2 linked regions of the Pelodiscus sinensis genome follow. The protein of the gene in region 1 purifies or fractionates together with the protein of each later gene. This does not show direct contact. Links are inferred from orthologs where the notes say so. Each region holds a gene or a part of one and is shown in the gene's direction. Other genes may lie near its edges.

Region 1 (10,217 bases):
GAGGCAGTAAGGCACAGATGGTGAGAACAAGGGCCTCGTGCATAGAACGTACTGCTACTCAGACAAGAAAGGATGCCTGGCGTTCAGTTTATTCTTCCATCTACTGCACATAATGGCAGACATTCTGATTCCATTTAAGTCAGTAGTTCTGCCATTGACTTAAGTGGGATCAGGATTTCACCTAATGAGCCAAATTCATCACTAAAGGCTATGGGGTTGTGTCCACTTTACTCAAATGTGTCTATATTATTAATCCTTTATGAATAATCTATATCATTTACACTCACTGGGACAAATTCAGACCCGATGACTGGTCTGAACTGGGCCTTCTAAATCTTGCCTGACAGCCATCTTTTCTGGTTGACACGTGAGCCTCACTGCATTATATTTTATATATGAAAAGAAATGGCATCTCATATATAATTTTGTGATCTATCGTGGTTCTAAAATATTAATAGAATGCAGATTAAAATATAATAGAACCATAATATGACTCCTGTACAATAAATTATTGTAGGATAGGACTACTGTAAGTTACCTGGTACAGATATTCTTTAACCCTTAAATGATACAAGTTAAAAACATCAGGTTGAGCTGGTAAAATGTGGTATATGCACTATTTGTTGTTATTGTAATTGTGCTAGTACATAGGAGGCCCAGGCATGGACAGGATCCTATTGAGCTAGCAGTACAAACACAGAACAAAATGATGGGTCTATGCCCTAAAAATCCTGCTTAGTTAGTATTTTGTTTAGGTCACAACTAATTACCTTTTAACCTGTCCTCTAGCTTTACATTAGAAATTGTCTGCATTATTCTTACAATTGCATAGCTCATTCTGTAAATATTCTGGCAACCACATGGTATTTCTCAGGCAAGTACCATATCAAGTAACTGCACAAGAAGAGAGTATTTACGAGATATTTCTGCCATCAGAGCTTTAACCACTTCTCATAGACTCATCATATCAAACACAGCTTTTTATGTTTGATAAAGCAATATTCATATCAGCTGAATCAACACAGGTATTTATGCACATTTTGCTTTATTTGTTCATTTGCTGATAAGCCTTGGTGTTTCCTGCTATAATAATGAACGTTGATGACATTGTTAAATGACAGGTGTTGAATCTAATAATTAGACGTTTCACCGGAATGTTTAGGAGGGCTATACAAGGATTTAATTATTCCCAAAGCAGTTTTTGACCCAAATAATCATTAGCCCCATTTTAAGGATGGGCAAACTGAGGCACAGAGAAGTTAAATGACTTGCCCAAGGTCATATAGCTAATCAGTAGCAAAGACTAGGCTAGAGACCAAAAGTCCTAACCCTCAGTCCCCTGCTTTAAACACTAGAAACACTAACATTTGATGAATCCAAAACCTTATCTGTACTGCTTGGCCAAGTTACCTAGGCCTCTCTGCCTCAGTTCCCCATCTGTACAATGGGATAACAGCATTTCCCTCCCTCCCATGGCTGTTGTGAGGATACACACACTAAATATTGCGACTTGCTTTGAGATCTACTGATGAAGAGTTCTATATGAAAAAGCTAGGTATGATTATTATTACTTATAAGCCCTGGTGAAACCCTGTTATGCAAATCTAGGAAGAAATGTTTTCTTTCCCCTTCCAAATAGGCCAAGCAAACCTGAACATGCCTTTCTCATCAGAGCTCTGGTTGCCCCTCTGTGGTAGTAGTTACAATTCTAGCTTTCCCTCCCTCTGAAGAAATCCATTGTAAAAGTTTCCTTATCCTGTAACTTTTCTCTGCAGGTATCTGCTGTCCCTCTCCAGCACACTTGCTCCCACCACTAACATGGCAGCCTCGAGGCCTACTTCCTGGCCACTGAGGTGAATTTGCAATCTAATCAGGTCGGTCCAGCCTTGGTATCCTCTCCAAAGTGATGGATGGGGTAAAATGAATTTGGAAAGAGACTGAAATGACAGCCTGGTGATTACTGCCAGAATTCAATTTGTAACGGCAATAGCCTCTCCTGGGTGGTGAGTATCAATCACTGCTAATATGTAATGAGGCCTTCAGCTCCCACTTAGGCAGTTCGCTATGTCCCGCAGCGTTGCGGGGAAACGCGGCCTCCTCCAAAAGGGCCCAGGGACATCAGCGCTTCAGCAATCCAGCCAGGAGCTTCGGTGGTGCCAAGCAAAAGCAAACCTCTCTTTCTCCTGTGAACTGAGGTTTCCAAAGGGAGTCACGTTGGGAGCCAGAGAACAGCCCCATGTGTCTACATCCTGACTGGGGCCGGCCACCTCAAGGCTGGTGAGAAGTTCTCTCCTCGGGCCCGCTCTGCCCTCAGCCTCGCTGCTGTCTCTTCCGGCTGGTTTCAGCGATGCGGAGGCTCATCCTCAATAATGTTCTGAGCCCTCCAGCTTGTCCCCGATTGGGACACCCCTGGATCCTGAGCCCAGCCAGATGACTAGTGCTAATGGCACTTGTCACTCTGCCCCACTTGCTGTCATACCCGGGCCCAGCCTTCCTTCTCCCGGGGTTAGTGGCTGGCTGGCACATGGTGCAAATATTCCTGCGTGGCCTGACTTGGCCAGCCTGCAGCCGGATAGAACTCCGAGCCTCCTCACCGGCCTGCACCCCTCCGCTGCCCCACTGCAAGACACTGCCCTTGGTTTCCCAGCCCTCCTCTGACCCCCCACTCTCCTGTCATCCCCGCTGTGTCCCCCCATGTGTCCCTCTTCATCTCCCCATATCCCCCATCCCATTCCCCCATCTCCTCATCTCCCCTCTCTCTAGCTGCTCCTCCCCAACCCACCCTTTATTTTTCTCTCCTCTCCCCTCCTCTGACCCCCCCATTACCTGCCATCCCCGCTGTGCCCTCCTCCTCCATCTGTCCTCCCTCCCCATCTCCTCTCCCTTCCCATCCCACAACCTTAATTTTTCTCTTCCCCTCCCCTCCCCCTCCTGCCCCAGTCTCCTCTTCCCTTTTCCCCAATCTCTAGCTCCCCTCCCCACCCTCTATTTTTCTTTTCCTCTAACCCCCTTCTCTTGCTGTACCTGCTGTGCCCCCCCATCTCCCCTATCTCCCTCTCCTCCCTTCCATCTCCCCCACCTCCTCCAATCCCATTCCCCCATCTCCTCATCTCGCCTCTCTCTAGAGCCCCCTCCCCATCCCACCCTCTCCCCTTCTCTAACTCCCCCCAATTACCTGCCATCCCTGCTGTGTCCCCCTCCCTATCTGTCCTCCCTCCCCATCTCTCAACCTTTGTTTTTATCTTCCTCTCCACTGACCCTAATCCCCCCATTACCTGCCAGTGTGTCCCCCCATCTGCTCCCTCCCCTCTTCTCTTAATCCCCATCCCATTACCCCATCTCCTCTCCCCTCCCCATCTCCCTCTCTCTAGTTCCCCCTCCCCATCCCACCCTCTATTTTTATCTTCCTCTCCCCTCCTCTGACCCCCCATCACCTGCCAACCCTGCCGTGCCCCCTCCCCCATCTGCCCTCCCTCCCCATCCCTCCTCTCCTCTCCCCATCTCCCCTCTCTCTAGTCCCCCTCCCCATCCCACCCTCTATTTTATCTTCCTCTCCCCTTCTCTGACCCCCCATCACCTGCCAACCCTGCCGTGCCCCCTCCCCCATCTGCCCTCCCTCCCCATCCCGCCTCTCCCCTCCCCATCTCCCCTCTCTCTAGTCCCCCTCCCCATCCCACCCTCTATTTTATCTTCCTCTCCCCTCCTCTGACCCCCCCATCACCTGCCAACCCTGCCGTGCCCCCTCCCCCATCTGCCCTCCCTCCCCATCCCTCCTCTCCCCTCCCCTTCTCCAGCTCCCCCACCCCTCTCTATTTTTCTCTTCCTCCGACCCCCCCCCCATCAGCTGCCGCCCCCCCCTCCCCGGCGCCCTGCCCCTCCGCCCGGCTCCGCCCCGCTCGGTACCGCATTGCTGTAGCGCAGGGGGGCACTGCATTGCGCCGGCACTGGCAATAGGGGGACCCCCTGCCAGGGAGATAAAGCCGCCGGAGCCGAAGCGGGCAGCCTCTGCTGTCTGAGCCCGGCGCCGACAGCGGTAAGAGCCGGGCAGCGGGCTCCGAGCCCTGCCGGGGCTGGGGGGCTGGGCGGCCCGGGGGGCGCAGGGGGGAGCCGCGGGGGTGCTCCGGGCACTGTCCCTGCGGCCGGCGGGCGTGTCTCCTCCCAGCTCGCTTGGGGGCGGCCCCCCAGGCTGGGGGAGGGGGTTGTGGGGTTCAATGGGGGGCAGCGGCTGGGGGAGGGGGTTGTGGGGTTCAATGGGGGGGGCAGCGGCTGCGGGAGGGGGTTGTGGGGTTCAATGGGTAGGCAGCGGCTGGGGGAGGGGGTTGTGGGGTTCAATGGGGGGGGCATCGGCTGGGGGAGGGGTTGTGGGGTTCAATGGGGGGGCATCGGCTGGGGGAGGGGGTTGTGGGGTTCAATGGGGGGGCAGCGGCTGGGGGAGGGGGTTGTGGGGTTCAATGGGGGGGCATCGGCTGGGGGAGGGGTTGTGGGGTTCAATGGGGGGGCATCGGCTGGGGGAGGGGGTTGTGGGGTTCAATGGGGGGGGCAGCGGCTGGGGGAGGGGTTGTGGGGTTCAATGGGGGGGCAGCGGCTGGGGGAGGGGGTTGTGGGGTTCAATGGGGGGGCAGCGGCTGGGGGAGGGGGTTGTGGGGTTCAATGGGGGGGGCAGCGGCTGGGGGAGGGGGTTGTGGGGTTCAATGGGGGGGCAGCGGCTGGGGGTGACCTTGTGGGGCCCCCTCCCCAGGCAAGGCGAGGCCAGGCATTCGGGCTTTGCAGCGCGGCCGGGTCTGCGTGCGGGGAGCCGGGTGCGTGGGGAGGCTTAAGAAACGGAGAATTAGACCCTGGCCGCTTTGAGCTAGCCAGGTCCGGGGCAATCCGGGTTTAAAAATAACCCAGAGGGAGGGGGGCCGCGAGGGGAGGTTGGGTCGCCAGCAGGTGTTGTCTGCGGCGCGGGTTTTGGCCGTTCCCTGGATTGCAAATCCCTAGCTTTTTCTGCCCCAAATGCCTGGCCCTCCTCCCCCCCCTTTGCAAATAAAAGCGCTTAGCATCTTTCATCCTGGGGGCTTCTCCTCCTCAGCGGATTGCCGCTGGAGGCGAGGGATGCACACCCAGGAAAGAGCTGCCTGCATTTTGGTTCGCTTATCTACAGGCATTAGCATTAGGGATGCAGTTTCCAAAATGCGATGAGCCAGGTCAGTGAAGGGTGAAGAAAGGAGGGGGGAGGGGAGGGGTTTGCCCCCTGGCAGGTTGCTCCGAGGGGGGTATAACTGAGTGCATGATGGAATCTGTATGATACCAGAAAACTTTCCCCCCGGCCTCTTTTGCCTTTAAGGGCAGATATGTGAAACTGGATTTGATTAGGCAACAAACTCCTAGGCTCCTATGCTGCTGGGTTAGTGGTGCAAGGTGCAAAGCCACAGGATCCTGGGAAATGCGGAGGCAGATCACTGGATGTCTTGCTTTTAGACCCTCTTTGCACACCTCTTCCATTGGATCTTGTGGGGAGGAAGAAAAGGAAGAAAACTCGCGGCTGCGTGCCCTGGTGGCATGGCTGAGTGTTCTGCAAGCTTCCAGGGAAAGAGAGGGCTGAGCCTGGGTTATTTTTGTCCATTCCCTTTTGTGGGCACCATATTGCCCACCTGATCATGAGCCCTCTGGGAGGTTTCAGTGGAGCAGCCAGAGTGGAATTGAATATCAACAAGCCTAGGCAAGAACGGACGCCCAGAGCCGAGCACTGCATGAAATGGAGGCAGTGCCTAGTAACCAGTGGGAATTTTTGACATAGAAGCACCCAGAATAAATGAGTAGCAACCCTCCTGGACACAAGGCAGAGGGGGGAGCTGCCAGTCTGGCAGGGTTCAAGGCATAGGCAACTGGTGCTTGCCAGGGAGGGAGGGTGCAGGGAGAGCCACACAGAGGAGCAGGGAGGGCGCACCCCATTTAGCAATCAACATCTAGGCAGGGACATAGGGGAGCAATGCACCTCTGGGGTACCACCCCACATTGTCCATGGTTCAAGGGCTAAGTAGGGTAACATGTTTGGGGCTCCTATGATATGTCATTTTGAATGGGCAGTCTCTGCGGGGGAGGGGCAGCAGTCAGACCTAGCTGCACAGGCTGAAAAGATGGCGACTTGTATGGGGCTCAGCGGGGTTTACCCAGCATGCAGAATGGGAAAAGGAAGGGGGTTCGCCTCAGCCACTCCAGAAGCATGCAGGCGCTTTCCATCACTGCCACAGACAAGGGAGGTGGACAGACGCACCTGACCCGGTCTGGCTACAGCTAGTGTGCTGGTCTCTGAGCAGAGTGCATCCATTCAGCAGGCAGAAGGTACAAATGTGTCTGAATAGTTAAATGTGGTTTGTCATTGTGGGTGAGGCTGCTGAGGAGGCCTGGTGGCCCTGGGTCTTGTTGCTTGTCAGAGCCTCTTGATGTTCTTGTCTGTCCCTCCCCAGCCTCCACGGAAAACAGCTTTGCTTCCACGCCTCTGCTAGCCTCGGACCTTTCCAGCATCACCCGCGAGGATGGGGAAGGAGAAGACACATATCAACATCGTCGTCATTGGACATGTGGACTCTGGGAAATCCACCACCACGGGGCACCTCATCTACAAATGTGGGGGCATCGACAAAAGGACCATTGAGAAATTTGAGAAGGAAGCTGCTGAGGTGAGGCCTATGACCCTTCCCCTCTGTCTCTTCCTCAACGAATGAGTGATGGACAAGCCCTGTAGATTATCCAATCCGTTCCCTGCCAGTGCAGGATTGTTCCCTACAGTATATTCCTTCCCTTCTCCCTGTGCCCTTCCTCTACCTTCCCTCTACTCCTTGGCCCACCCATTGTTCCTATTCGCTCTGTATCGCTTTGCTTCTGGGCCTTTCCAACTTCTCTGGCCTTGGGAAGAGAGGACATTTTGGCATTGGCACGTTTTCCTTTGGGTTTTGCAGCGGACTGTGGCATTCATTGCCACATTCTATATATTGGCCATTGTACAGAGCTAACAAGTTCTAACTGTAAAGAATAAAGATTCTGGAAGGGAGATAAATGTTCATGCTGTAAGGCAGGGGTGGGGAACCTTTTTTGGGTTGGGGGTTGCTGAGTCACAGTAAAATCAGACAGGGGCTGCACACAAGTGAGAAGGAAAAAGGAAAAAAAAAAAACTGAACCCCCAGCTGAGGAGAAAGACACTCCCCATGCTCCCCTTGCACATCAGAACCTAGGGGGCCCAGGCTAGTAGATTTTGTGTGCTCCAGCCCCGTGGTAGGGCAATGGGGGATAAGGGGAGAAGGGACGGGAGTGCCAGCACAGGCTCTCCAATGCTGGAGGGTCCAGGTAAGCCGAGGGCTGCATCTGGCCCCTGGGACTGAGGTTCCCCACCCCTGCCAACATCTAAATATTGGGAGCTAGAAGGAAGTTTTCTCTAGGAATACATTTTTCCATTACTGCCTTCTGCTGTATTTCTTGAATGGCATTCTGAATCAGCTGTCATTGGCCATTGTTGGAGATAAGATACTGGGCTAGATGGTCTGACCCAATCTTGTAAAATCCATTTACATTCCTGGGTTTAGGATCTCGTGTATAGCTTTGGCAGTAGCTGTCAAGGTAGAAAATCTGGTTTGAAATATGTGCCTTCATTTAATTGTATTATTTCTTTTTTTTATAAAGACCATAATAATAGCAGTATAATGATAAATACATTTATTTGTCTTTCATCATACTACATACAAAGACAAAATATATAACAAGGGCAAATGCATCGAGTAAAAGGGAAGAAATACCATTGCAGAATGACCTTTTTAAGTTAAAAGAACTTGAAACATGGCAATAGGAAATTCTTGTGAAATGAACCATATTGGGAACCTTAATGCATTGCTGTAAAATGTCTGTGGCCTTCACAAATTTGTTTTTCATGCCTAGATACTTTAATTTTTCTTAATTCAACATGTGTAATACAAAAAATGCCAGCACTTTTAGAGCTGCCAGTCTTGAACAGACATTTTGCTAACAGTCTCTTAACCCTTTTCATTTATGGAACAACACCCAGGATCAACCACCTTTTTCTGTACTTTGTCATCAGTTCTCTTTGCAGCTTTCTCAGTAAGCTGCACCCTGTATCTTAATTCGGTTGGAAAACGGACTGTGCTATTTGCATAGATATTTTTGTCCTGTACTGATGAGGGAGACTCGGTATAATTAGGTTGTTCTAGATGTGACTGCAGCCACTTTCATGGAACGGACACTTTCACTGACTTGCCAGAATATGCAGGGGCTAGAAGCTGCTATTAATAGCCTATTGACTGAGCTTTCAGACTCCATTTTCTGATGCAGGGTTGTGGAGGGTTTTTCTTTCACTAAGTTGCATTAGGAGGAAATGGAGGCCTGCATGAATAAAAAAACAAAACAACAACCAGCATTGCTCTCATTCCCCCTCTCCCTCATGGCTGATACATTTTTTTTAAGGACAAAAGATAAAAGGAGAGCATACAGAGGTTGTAGCTTAGAAGGTTTCTTTATTTATTTTTTATTTTTGATCTCAGAACATAACTGTCCTTGATGCTTAGCTTAATCGAGAAATATCAGGCAGTTTCTGGTACTTAACAGTGGAGTCATTGTGCAAAGCTAGATAATACAGGTTTTTTTCTACACCAGCTCTGGGTAATTGAAGATACACAGTGAAAGGGACCTAGGGAGTAGGCGGGGGGGGGGGGGGGGGGGCAGAGATGTGTTTGTTAAATAAAGGCTGACATTTGCCTTGAAGCTATGCATGACATTGCAAGTTTTAGTGTGACCCAGCTCTAATTTGGAAAGACCAGCCCCCTCTCCCCATCTTTTCTTTTGGAGAGGGGGATAAGCAAATAACCCTCTCTGATAATTCTCAACTGTCTCTTTTTCTGAATGAGGGGGGATGTTGTGAGGTCTCAAATAAGAAGGCACAGTTGCATGGTCTATAGAGCTGAGGAGCAGCACCAATGTTCCCTCTAATCTTTTCCATACCTATACAGAATAAATTTTGTCATGTGCACCGAGGCATGTGCAAATGTGCACCACCAGGATAAACACAAACCTAGCTGTGGATGCTCTGCTAATCAGCTGGGTGGCATGGATATCTCTCCTGAGCAGCAGCACAAGTGCACAGTTTAGAGGGAACACTGGTCAAAACCATCCCAAATATGTTTAGACTAGATTCATATCCCCAGATGCTCTTCTGAGAAGGGATAGTTTGTCAAGCAGCATGGTACACAAGCAGGGTAGTGGTCTGTGAGCGTGGAGACCTGAGGTATCTTCTCAGCTCCTCCTGTGATTTTCCTCTCTCTCTACCTCAGTTTGTTCATCTGTGAAGTGGGGCTGTTGATACTCGCCATCTCTTGAAAAGCACGTTGAGGTCAATGTGTGAAAAGTGCTTTATAAAAGTGATGGATTATTATCCACTAGCTTAAATAATTTATCTACTACATTTATCTGACGTAGCCACCCTATTTCGCACAATAATTATTTGCATGAAGAATAACCCCATCCTTTTCCATTTGTAATAATGAGCTAGACAAATTAGTGTGCAAACTTGGAAAGATCCTGATTATAATCTGAATTTGTTAGAACCTTCAGGAGTGCATGGAAATTCAGAGGAGGCAGGCTTTTTGTTTGCACGATGTGGCTGTTTATTTCCTTGTAGCAAGCAGTAGGTTTATTCAACCATTATAGGACTATACCCATCACCCTCAGTGCCTGACTGCAAAGTCATCCCCAACAGAAATCTATGTACGCGGTGTGCCCTCCATCAGTACTTTGTGCTGCACAAATCGTGCACAGGGGAATCACGTCACCACCTCCGGGAGGGAACATGGCAACTATCTAATGAAGGCATTGATCCGGTGTCTGCTGAAGTTCATGGAGATTTTTCCATTGACTCTGATGGCAGTGGACCAAACAGAGCACAGTAGCAGAACATAACACAGTTAACTTAGAGAGGATAAACTGTTATACAGCAATATTAACTTTCATACCAAATCTTAGGGTTGGAAGAGACCTCTGGAGGTCATCGAGTCCAGCCCCCTGCCCAAAGTAGGGATGTTAAATATCGGTTAATTGAATAGTTGAGTAACCTCATACATTCTTATTGGTTAGTCGACTATTCTATAGTCCCTGGCGTGGGGCTGTGGCAGCAGACTCTGTCTAGGGCGGGTCTGAGCTCCTGGGCCTGGTGTGAGCCAGAACTGAGCCAGGCT
Region 2 (10,217 bases), on another chromosome or scaffold:
GCTGCTGGGGCACTGGCGGGTTTGTACTAATGGAGAGTTACGCACGGTGCGAACGCAGGGCTGCAGGCTGCTGGGGCGCTGGCGGGTTTGTACCAATGGAGAGTTACGAACGGTGCGAACGCAGGGCTGCAGGCTGCTGGGGCGCTGGCGGGTTTGTACTAATGGAGAGTTACGAACGGTGCGAACGCAGGGCTGCAGGCTGCTGGGGCGCTGGCGGGTTTGTACTAATGGAGAGTTACGAACGGTGCGAACGCAGGGCTGCAGGCTGCTGGGGCGCTGGCGGGTTTGTACTAATGGAGAGTTACGAACGGTGCGAACGCAGGGCTGCAGGCTGCTGGGGCACTGGCGGGTTTGTACTAATGGAGAGTTACGAACGGTGCGAACGCAGGGCTGCAGGCTGCTGGGGCGCTGGCGGGTTTGTACTAATGGAGAGTTACGCACGGTGCGAACGCAGGGCTGCAGGCTGCTGGGGCGCTGGCGGGTTTGTACTAATGGAGAGTTACGCACGGTGCGAACGCAGGGCTGCAGGCTGCTGGGGCGCTGGCGGGTTTGTACTAATGGAGAGTTACGCACGGTGCGAACGCAGGGCTGCAGGCTGCTGGGGCGCTGGCGGGTTTGTACTAATGGAGAGTTACGCACGGTGCGAACGCAGGGCTGCAGGCTGCTGGGGCACTGGCGGGTTTGTACCAATGGAGAGTTACGAACGGTGCGAACGCAGGGCTGCAGGCTGCTGGGGCGCTGGCGGGTTTGTACCAATGGAGAGTTACGCACGGTGCGAACGCAGGGCTGCAGGCTGCTGGGGCACTGGCGGGTTTGTACCAATGGAGAGTTACGCACGGTGCGAACGCAGGGCTGCAGGCTGCTGGGGCACTGGCGGGTTTGTACCAATGGAGAGTTACGAACGGTGCGAACGCAGGGCTGCAGGCTGCTGGGGCACTGGCGGGTTTGTACTAATGGAGAGTTACGAACGGTGCGAACGCAGGGCTGCAGGCTGCTGGGGCACTGGCGGGTTTGTACCAATGGAGAGTTACGCACGGTGCGAACGCAGGGCTGCAGGCTGCTGGGGCACTGGCGGGTTTGTACCAATGGAGAGTTACGAACGGTGCGAACGCAGGGCTGCAGGCTGCTGGGGCACTGGCGGGTTTGTACTAATGGAGAGTTACGAACGGTGCGAACGCAGGGCTGCAGGCTGCTGGGGCGCTGGCGGGTTTGTACCAATGGAGAGTTACGAACGGTGCGAACGCAGGGCTGCAGGCTGCTGGGGCGCTGGCGGGTTTGTACTAATGGAGAGTTACGAACGGTGCGAACGCAGGGCTGCAGGCTGCTGGGGCGCTGGCGGGTTTGTACCAATGGAGAGTTACGAACGGTGCGAACGCAGGGCTGCAGGCTGCTGGGGCACTGGCGGGTTTGTACTAATGGAGAGTTACGCACGGTGCGAACGCAGGGCTGCAGGCTGCTGGGGCGCTGGCGGGTTTGTACTAATGGAGAGTTACGCACGGTGCGAACGCAGGGCTGCAGGCTGCTGGGGCACTGGCGGGTTTGTACTAATGGAGAGTTACGAACGGTGCGAACGCAGGGCTGCAGGCTGCTGGGGCACTGGCGGGTTTGTACTAATGGAGAGTTACGCACGGTGCGAACGCAGGGCTGCAGGCTGCTGGGGCACTGGCGGGTTTGTACTAATGGAGAGTTACGCACGGTGCGAACGCAGGGCTGCAGGCTGCTGGGGCACTGGCGGGTTTGTACCAATGGAGAGTTACGAACGGTGCGAACGCAGGGCTGCAGGCTGCTGGGGCGCTGGCGGGTTTGTACTAATGGAGAGTTACGCACGGTGCGAACGCAGGGCTGCAGGCTGCTGGGGCACTGGCGGGTTTGTACTAATGGAGAGTTACGAACGGTGCGAACGCAGGGCTGCAGGCTGCTGGGGCGCTGGCGGGTTTGTACTAATGGAGAGTTACGAACGGTGCGAACGCAGGGCTGCAGGCTGCTGGGGCGCTGGCGGGTTTGTACTAATGGAGAGTTACGAACGGTGCGAACGCAGGGCTGCAGGCTGCTGGGGCGCTGGCGGGTTTGTACTAATGGAGAGTTACGAACGGTGCGAACGCAGGGCTGCAGGCTGCTGGGGCACTGGCGGGTTTGTACCAATGGAGAGTTACGAACGGTGCGAACGCAGGGCTGCAGGCTGCTGGGGCGCTGGCGGGTTTGTACTAATGGAGAGTTACGAACGGTGCGAACGCAGGGCTGCAGGCTGCTGGGGCGCTGGCGGGTTTGTACTAATGGAGAGTTACGCACGGTGCGAACGCAGGGCTGCAGGCTGCTGGGGCACTGGCGGGTTTGTACCAATGGAGAGTTACGCACGGTGCGAACGCAGGGCTGCAGGCTGCTGGGGCGCTGGCGGGTTTGTACTAATGGAGAGTTACGCACGGTGCGAACGCAGGGCTGCAGGCTGCTGGGGCACTGGCGGGTTTGTACCAATGGAGAGTTACGAACGGTGCGAACGCAGGGCTGCAGGCTGCTGGGGCGCTGGCGGGTTTGTACTAATGGAGAGTTACGAACGGTGCGAACGCAGGGCTGCAGGCTGCTGGGGCGCTGGCGGGTTTGTACTAATGGAGAGTTACGCACGGTGCGAACGCAGGGCTGCAGGCTGCTGGGGCACTGGCGGGTTTGTACCAATGGAGAGTTACGAACGGTGCGAACGCAGGGCTGCAGGCTGCTGGGGCACTGGCGGGTTTGTACTAATGGAGAGTTACGAACGGTGCGAACGCAGGGCTGCAGGCTGCTGGGGCGCTGGCGGGTTTGTACTAATGGAGAGTTACGCACGGTGCGAACGCAGGGCTGCAGGCTGCTGGGGCGCTGGCGGGTTTGTACCAATGGAGAGTTACGAACGGTGCGAACGCAGGGCTGCAGGCTGCTGGGGCGCTGGCGGGTTTGAAGGAAGCCGTCGCACGCCGGCCTGTGCCACCAGGGGCACTGCCCCAGTACGTGCCGCAGCGCGGGCCCCGGAGCCCGCAGCACCGACAGCGAGCGAGCGGCCTGGGCAGGCCTGCGAACGCCCCAGGCCCTAGGGCCGGGCCCCGCCTCAGGGCACCCGGGCTCCCCCAGCCAGGGAGACCCGGGCCGCCGCTGCCGGGCGGGGCGGGGCACAGGGGGACGCGCGCGCCCCCGCGCCGGTCAAGGGCACCCCGGGACAGGCGGAAAGCAACGAACCCGCCGCGGCAGGGAGCGGCTGACCCCGCCCAGCGCCGCAGCAAGGCCCCGGGCCCCGTTACCTCCGTGCGCTGGAGGAGCCGGCCGCCCCCGCCGCACCTATTCGGTCTTCTGAAGGCAGACGCTGCGCCTGAGCGCTCTCGCCCCGCTAATATGGCGGCCGCTTCGGCAACTTCCGTCACTCCCCGGAGATTCCATCGGCCATTTCCGTCAGTAGGGGCCTCGGCAACTTCCGTCACTCCCCGGAGATTCCATCGGCCATTTCCGTCAGTAGGGGCCTCGGCAACTTCCGTCACTCCCCGGAGATTCCATCGGCCATTTCCGTCAGTAGGGGCCTCGGCAACTTCCGTTACTCCCCGAAGGCTCCTTCGGCCATTTCCGTCACCAGTGCCGCTGATCGGTAACTTCCGTCAGTCCCCCGCTCAGTTCTGGTGATTTTCGAAAATCTTCGCGTTGTAGCCGAGGCGGAACCCCCCGAACATCCTCATTATTAGCCGTTCGCTATCTCCGTCCTCCGAGTGTCCCTCCCCATCCGCCCTGCTCCTGTGCTAAGTGGTGTGGCGGGGGATTATTTCCAGGTGCGTTCCCGCGGAGGGATAATGTCACGTCAGAGGCCCGTGCGGCGGAGGGATACCACGCACTCTCTATAAAACGGGAGCGGAGGGCTGCCTCTCTCTCTTTCTGCGGTGGGTGCCGGTCGGGTCTTGCGTCTGAGGGCTGTGACGACGACGGTACTCTCGCCGCCATGGGCTTCGGGGACCTCCGCTCCTCTGCCGGCCTCCGGCTCCTCAACGACTTCCTCGCTGACAAAAGCTACATCGAGGGGTGAGCGGCGCGCGGAGCCGTGAGGCGGCTGCCGCAGAACGGCCCCTCCCCCGCGAGCCCGGCCTGCTGGGATCTGGCGCGTGGCCTGCAGGTCGGCCTCGTGCCGCGTGGCCTGCGCGCGCTCGGACACCCCCCCCCCCCCAACAGCGGTTGAGTCCGTTGGGCCCAGGGCGGTGATGCACGAGCCGCCTGGCGGGTTCCCTGCGCCCCGGGGCGGGCGGGAAGCCTGCGGCGTGTGTTGCGCAGCGTGTCGTGCCTGGGATCGGCGCTGACTCGTGTTTTCTGCAGGCACGTGCCCTCGCAGGCGGACGTGGCGGTTTTCGAGGCCTTGTCCGCGCCACCCCCGGCTGACCTGTTCCACGCGCTGCGCTGGTACAAGCACATCCAGTCCTATGAGCGGCAAAAGGCCAGGTACCTCCAGCGGCTCCCGCGGAGCGCTCACTGATACGTGAGGGGCTAATCGCCGAGCGTCATCGTGTCTCCATGGGCTTGTAGCCAGCAGTTCTGTAGACAGGGACTTTGAACCCACGGGCTGTTCCTGGCCCAGCACACAGCTGAGCCCACAATGGTAAATAGGTGACGCTTATACCCCGACCGGATCATGGCCCAGTACAGATTCCCCCTACAATATGTACACCAGCTTCTCACTCCCCGCCCCATGTGTATCTTGAAATAGGAATTCTAGCAAACAAAATTACCAACTCTCATGTTGGGAGACCTTTCATTCACATGATCATCCTGAAATCTTAAAGTAAATTAAATAGTGACCTGCAGAAGCACCTGGAAATGTGAAAGCAAATGTATTCTTTTCTCTTTTAGTGAATTTAGTGCTCATGAAAGTTGCCGTATTGACAGCCATGGAGACTGAAGTCCTCTCTAGAAAAGGTACACCATAGGCAGCTTCAGTGTGTGCACTTTCCACACTGCCTCACCATTGTGCTTCAACCCTGTTTTGGGGGAGCCTCCTGTAGAGTTGAATTGTTCAGTCTCCTGACCTTTGGCTTTTTTGATGCTTCTGCTAACTGTATACCACTTGTGATGGTTTGTCTTGAAACTGGACAAAAGTTATAAGCTTATTTCATTAATCTCGCTACAAATTCTGACAACATCTAACTAGTACCAGTCTAGCAAAATTCAAAGTACAGGTTAATATAGAGGAACATAATCATGGAGGCTAGTGTTCTGTCACTGCAGTTTATCAGAAATAGCAATCTAATAAAATGCAAATAGACATAAAAGCTTAAGATAACATCATTTTGTCTTCGGTAGATACCTTCAGAATAATGAAGGTGCAAAGAAAGTCATAGTTAAATACACTAAGGTAGCTAAAGGAGGAGGCAGTAGAAAGGCTGAAATATATATATTTTCAAGCAATAGAGGGAGCTGTTTGCACTTCTGAAGTCCAGACTCAATTACAAACATAAAAGCAAATGCCTATTTGCAGCTGTGGAAGTAAGCAAGAGGTGTGTGTGGTGTGGACATGGGACAGCACTGGAGGCACAGTAGGTGGCCATGCAATCAGTGGCTATAGAAGTGACAGTTTTCCTTTCAAGGCACCACTTCTCTCCTGTTGGCTGTGTGGCTCTCCCTGCTCCAGAGTCCTCCAGCTTTGGGTGCAACCCCTGAGGTGAGATGGGTGGAGGATGTCCAGAAGTCCCCTTCAGAATTTCCATCTTCCTCATCCTCTAATTAAATCTGCCTTTCCATAAACACCAGCATTAAGGTTAAATAAACTATTTCTTGGTCAATTCTATTATTCTGATTGTTTAATTACTAGCATTGTTTCCTGTGCGGTTGGGTGTCTGCTTAGGAGAAATTCAAATGATGCTGAGCTGATTAGCAGAGCATCTGTTTGTTGGTGTAGATTTGCACATGCCTCAGTGCACATAAAATACTACACATGGATGGAAAAAATCTGCACACAGTGCAGATATGGATTACTAGTATATTTTGTGAATATAGTATTTCAGCTATATTATGGGTTAAGTAGGTTTTTGTGGGATAGCCTGGGAACCTAAAACCATTTTATAGCTTTCTATAGGAAAATGTGTTCAGAGTTGGGGCTTCCTGTATTTAGTTCCTAACAGGTTCCATTCGTTCTAAAACAACACAAGCCAGGTTGTGTTGATGTTAGGCACTAAAAAAGCTCATTCTCAAACAACTCCATAGCTAAAACACCAAAATCAATTAATTACCTGGTTACAAAACTAGCCTTACCACTGTACCTACCAAGCCACTAATTGATCCTCCACTGAAAACAAAGGTTTTCAAGAAATCATTTGGGTGGAAAGTGGAAGATTTATTTAATGATGCAATATAGTGTTAATTTTCAAGAACCACTAATCTTTCTCTGATCTATTGTCTCTTTTCTGCATGTTGTAAAAAGCAAAACTTACCAAATCACCCATGAACAAAATTCCAGACAAGTGGTTGCTGTTAGGTGCTATATTGTCGGAAATTCTGCTAGCAAGAGCAAAAGTAGTATGCCATTTAGCTGCCTATGCATGCGGGATTCACCATTATAATTGTCAATTTAATTATGTTGAGTGCACTTTTGGGACTGTTCTGGCTTCTCTCACTTTTGAAATTGTAGTATACTTGATTGCTATCACAAATAATCATTACTGGAGGTTCATTGATCTTAAATCTTTGTGTGTGAGATTAGGAGTGTAATATTTTGCCACTTGTTTTAGTTTGCCAGGAGTAAAGAAAGCTTTGGGGAAATATGGTCCTGCTGATGTTGAAGACGCTACAGCTGCAGCCACAGATAGCAAAGATGATGATGACATTGATCTCTTCGGATCAGAGGATGAGGAGGTACTGGCTAATCTTAAGCAACAAATGGTCTGGTAGCACTTTATAGACTAACAAAACATGTAGATGGTATCATGCGCTTTCGTGGCCACAGCCCACTTCTTCAGATGACTGGAATTATGAGTTTACGATGCCCAGACCTAAAATGAATGGGGGGAAGAGGGGGAGGAAGGGGCTAGGAGACACAGAGCAGAGGGTATGAAAATATCAAAGGGGGAAAAAAAGTAGGCAGAACTGGTAACCTATAAGCCCAATCTTTAGGTGTAGTTAAAAGCAGCAGACAAGAATCATAGGATAGCAATTAGATAGGAAGGGTACCAACACCAGAAAATACACACAGAGCTGTTGGCACCTTCATTCATAGAGACCTCAGAAGGCCATCAAGTCCAGCCCCCCGCCCAAGGCAGGACCAATCCCAATTAAATCAACCTAGCCAGGGCTTTGTCAAGCCGAGACTTAAACACCTCTAGGGATAAAGACTCCCCCTACTTCCCTAGGTAACCCATTCCAGTGCTTCACCACCCTCCTAGTGAAATAGTTTTTCCTAATATCCAACCTGGACCTCTCCCCACCGCAACTTGAGACCATTGCTCCTTGTTCTGCCATCCATCACTACTATGAACAGCCTTTCTCCAGCCTCTTTGGAACCTCCCTTCGGGAAGTTGAAGGCTCCTATCAAATCCCCCCTCACTCTTCTCTTTTGCAGACTAAACAGACCCAACTCCCTCAGTCTTTCCTTGTAAGTCATGTGCTCCAACCCCCTAATCATTTAGTTGCCCTCCGCTGGACCCTCTCCAATGCATCCAGATCCTTTCTGTAATTAGGGGCCCAGAACTGGACACAGTATTCCAGATGTGGCCTCACCAGAGCCGAATAAAGAGGAATAATCACATCTCTGGATCTACTGGCAACGTTCCTCTTAATGCAACCTAATATGCCATTAGCCTTCTTGGCTACATGGGCACACCATTGACTTATATCCAGCTTCTCATCCACTGTAATCCCCTGGTCCTTTTTTTGCAAAACTGCTACTTAGCCAGTTGGTCCCCTCCAGCCTGTACCAATGCTTTGGATTCTTCCATCCCAAGTGCAGGACTCTACACTTGTCCTTGTTGAACCTCATCAGATTTCTTGTGGCCCAATCCTCCAATTTGTCTAAGTCATTTTGGACCCTATCTCTGCCCTCCAGCGTATCTGCCTCTCCCCCTAGAGCTTAGTGTCATCTGCAAACTTGCTGAGGGTGCAATCCATCTCTTCATCCAGGTCACTAATAAAGATGTTGAACAAAAATGGTCCCAGAACTGAACCTTGGGGCACTCCACTAGCACCATCCTGACATCAAGCCATTGATCATTACCTGCTGGGCCCAACCTTCCAGCTAGCTTTCTATCCATTGTACCATCCATTTGTCCAATCCACGTTCCCTTAACTTGCTGGCAAGAATATTGTGGGAGACCATATCAAAAGCCTTGCTAAAATCAAGGTATTAATTGATCTGGAGCATGTGCGAGGCTTCCAGGCAAGGACCGAGCGTTGGGCAGTCAGGCGAAACGCCCCGTGTATGTCAGGGTACTGACTTGGTAACCATTTATCACATCCAGTGACTTTCCCATATCTACAGAGCCAGTTACCTCATCATAGAAGCTAATCAGATTGAATGTTAGGCTGAATAATGTCCAAGCCATTGCTTATCTCGATTGAGGAGGTTATCAGTGTGAGAATTGAATTTGTGGATGTATTGTAATTCCAACGCCTCTGTGTATTTGGCTTGTAGAATTAGTTTGTGACAAGACAGCCACCTGGAGAGCTTTTAAAGAGTGTTTAGGTAGATTGAAGTGTTGTCCTACAGGTTTCTGTATTTCCTTTACATATATCTGATTTGTGTCCATTGGGGGGTGGGTGGGTGGGTGGGTGTGTGTGTGTGTCCATTGATAGATATAAAAAAATATAGTGCAGTGGGGCATCGCTGGCATTTGATGGCATAGATCAAATTACTGGATGTGCAATTAAATGAGTCTTTGACTCGGTAGCTTATGTTGTTGTCTCCAGTACTGAAGAGATTATTTTTAGAAATAGACTTGTGATTTTAGGTTCTCATTAGTTTTCTTCTTTTTGTATTTAAAATATCATAATTAAATTGAAATAGTACATTTCTGGTGTATATCACGGCCCTGAAATTCATTTGACTTTGAATGCTTAACAGGAAAGAACATGTGAGGAGGTAAATAGCTAATTGGGTAGAGAAGAGCAATTTATTGTAATAGGCATGAATGTGACTCCGCTGTTATGCATTACAAACTACGCTTAATCTTTGTCACAAAGGTGGTAGGAGTTTTGTAAACTTGCTAGAGCAAGTTTGTATGAAGTGTCTGTCTGACTGGTAACATGATGAATAAAACCAAATCACCATCTTTCGGCTGATCTTGTGATGATTTGTTTTTACCTGACCAAAAGCCAGTCTAATTTTATTAGTGGATAAAGTGTGTCTGTCTTTGCCTTGGTGTGAATCTGTTTTTTCTTTTTCAGGAAAGTGAAGAATCAAAGAGACTGAGAGAAGAGCGTCTTGCTCAGTATGAATCTAAGAAATCCAAAAGTATGTTTGGTAGCTTTAATAGCCTGTTTTATGCACTTGGTTTAAGTATGCATCGAAAATTGAAATAAGAATTTTCCAGATTATTAGCTGGAGTAGATGGTTTGCTTTGATCAAGTATACTTGAAAGTTTTTCACTGTTAAAGCACTTTTATTCCATGCGCACTTGAAACGATGTTTGTCAATGAGATGTGACTTTAGTTTGGGATTGGCTTGTAAAGCTAAAAATGCAAAGTTTAGTCTCATTAAAGTCTCTATCTTAATGTCTAAAGTAAGGAGAAGATTAAAAACCAGCGGATATTATTTTCAGATGGCAGCCTTGTCATTTTAAATATAGGAACCCACAGCTACTGGTCTGGAACTGTTCTGAAATGTAACAGTTGCAGTATTCCATCTGTGGGAAATAAACTGTTACTGTATCATGTCCTTTTTGGGTCAGCTGAAAAGGACTTTCTCTGTAACAGACAAGAGAACTTGGATTTGATGCAAGTTTCTAAATAAGTTTGGCTTGATAAGATGACTTTTTGGAAGTACATGTGACTTAGTATTATACTAACTGGATATATGATTGGAAGGAGTAAATCCCTCTGTGTTGACAAATACATAAAGTTTTATTCGTCTGTTTTGACTATTCTTTTCCTGCTGCATGTTTACAATAACTTTTATAAAATGCCTTAGATTGAGAAATACCTGGGATACCTTATTTATTCTTATGTCATGTTGCTTTCTCTTTTCTCCCTTAGAACCAGCTCTCATTGCCAAATCATCCATCTTACTGGATGTG

What was found.
Region 2: the proteins of EEF1A2 (region 1) and EEF1B2 purify together in Homo sapiens (co-immunoprecipitation; 4 studies listed by BioGRID and IntAct, counting the BioPlex papers as one, with this or other methods). This does not show direct contact. The link is inferred for Pelodiscus sinensis from reciprocal best matches to the Homo sapiens genes EEF1A2 and EEF1B2.

Annotation. Positions count from the first base shown.
Region 1 is NC_134728.1:5,852,630-5,862,846, forward strand, and holds the start of EEF1A2 (elongation factor 1-alpha 2), read left to right. Parts: upstream 1-3,877; 5' UTR 3,878-4,033; intron 4,034-5,054; exon of another isoform or gene 5,055-5,186; intron 5,187-6,449; 5' UTR 6,450-6,518; coding exon 6,519-6,662; intron 6,663-10,217. UniProt on the Homo sapiens protein: Translation elongation factor that catalyzes the GTP-dependent binding of aminoacyl-tRNA (aa-tRNA) to the A-site of ribosomes during the elongation phase of protein synthesis.
Region 2 is NC_134717.1:75,105,384-75,115,600, forward strand, and holds the start of EEF1B2 (elongation factor 1-beta), read left to right. Parts: upstream 1-3,869; 5' UTR 3,870-3,949; coding exon 3,950-4,029; intron 4,030-4,317; coding exon 4,318-4,440; intron 4,441-6,722; coding exon 6,723-6,846; intron 6,847-9,220; exon of another isoform or gene 9,221-9,297; intron 9,298-9,369; coding exon 9,370-9,436; intron 9,437-9,772; exon of another isoform or gene 9,773-9,903; intron 9,904-10,176; coding exon 10,177-10,217. UniProt on the Homo sapiens protein: Catalytic subunit of the guanine nucleotide exchange factor (GEF) (eEF1B subcomplex) of the eukaryotic elongation factor 1 complex (eEF1).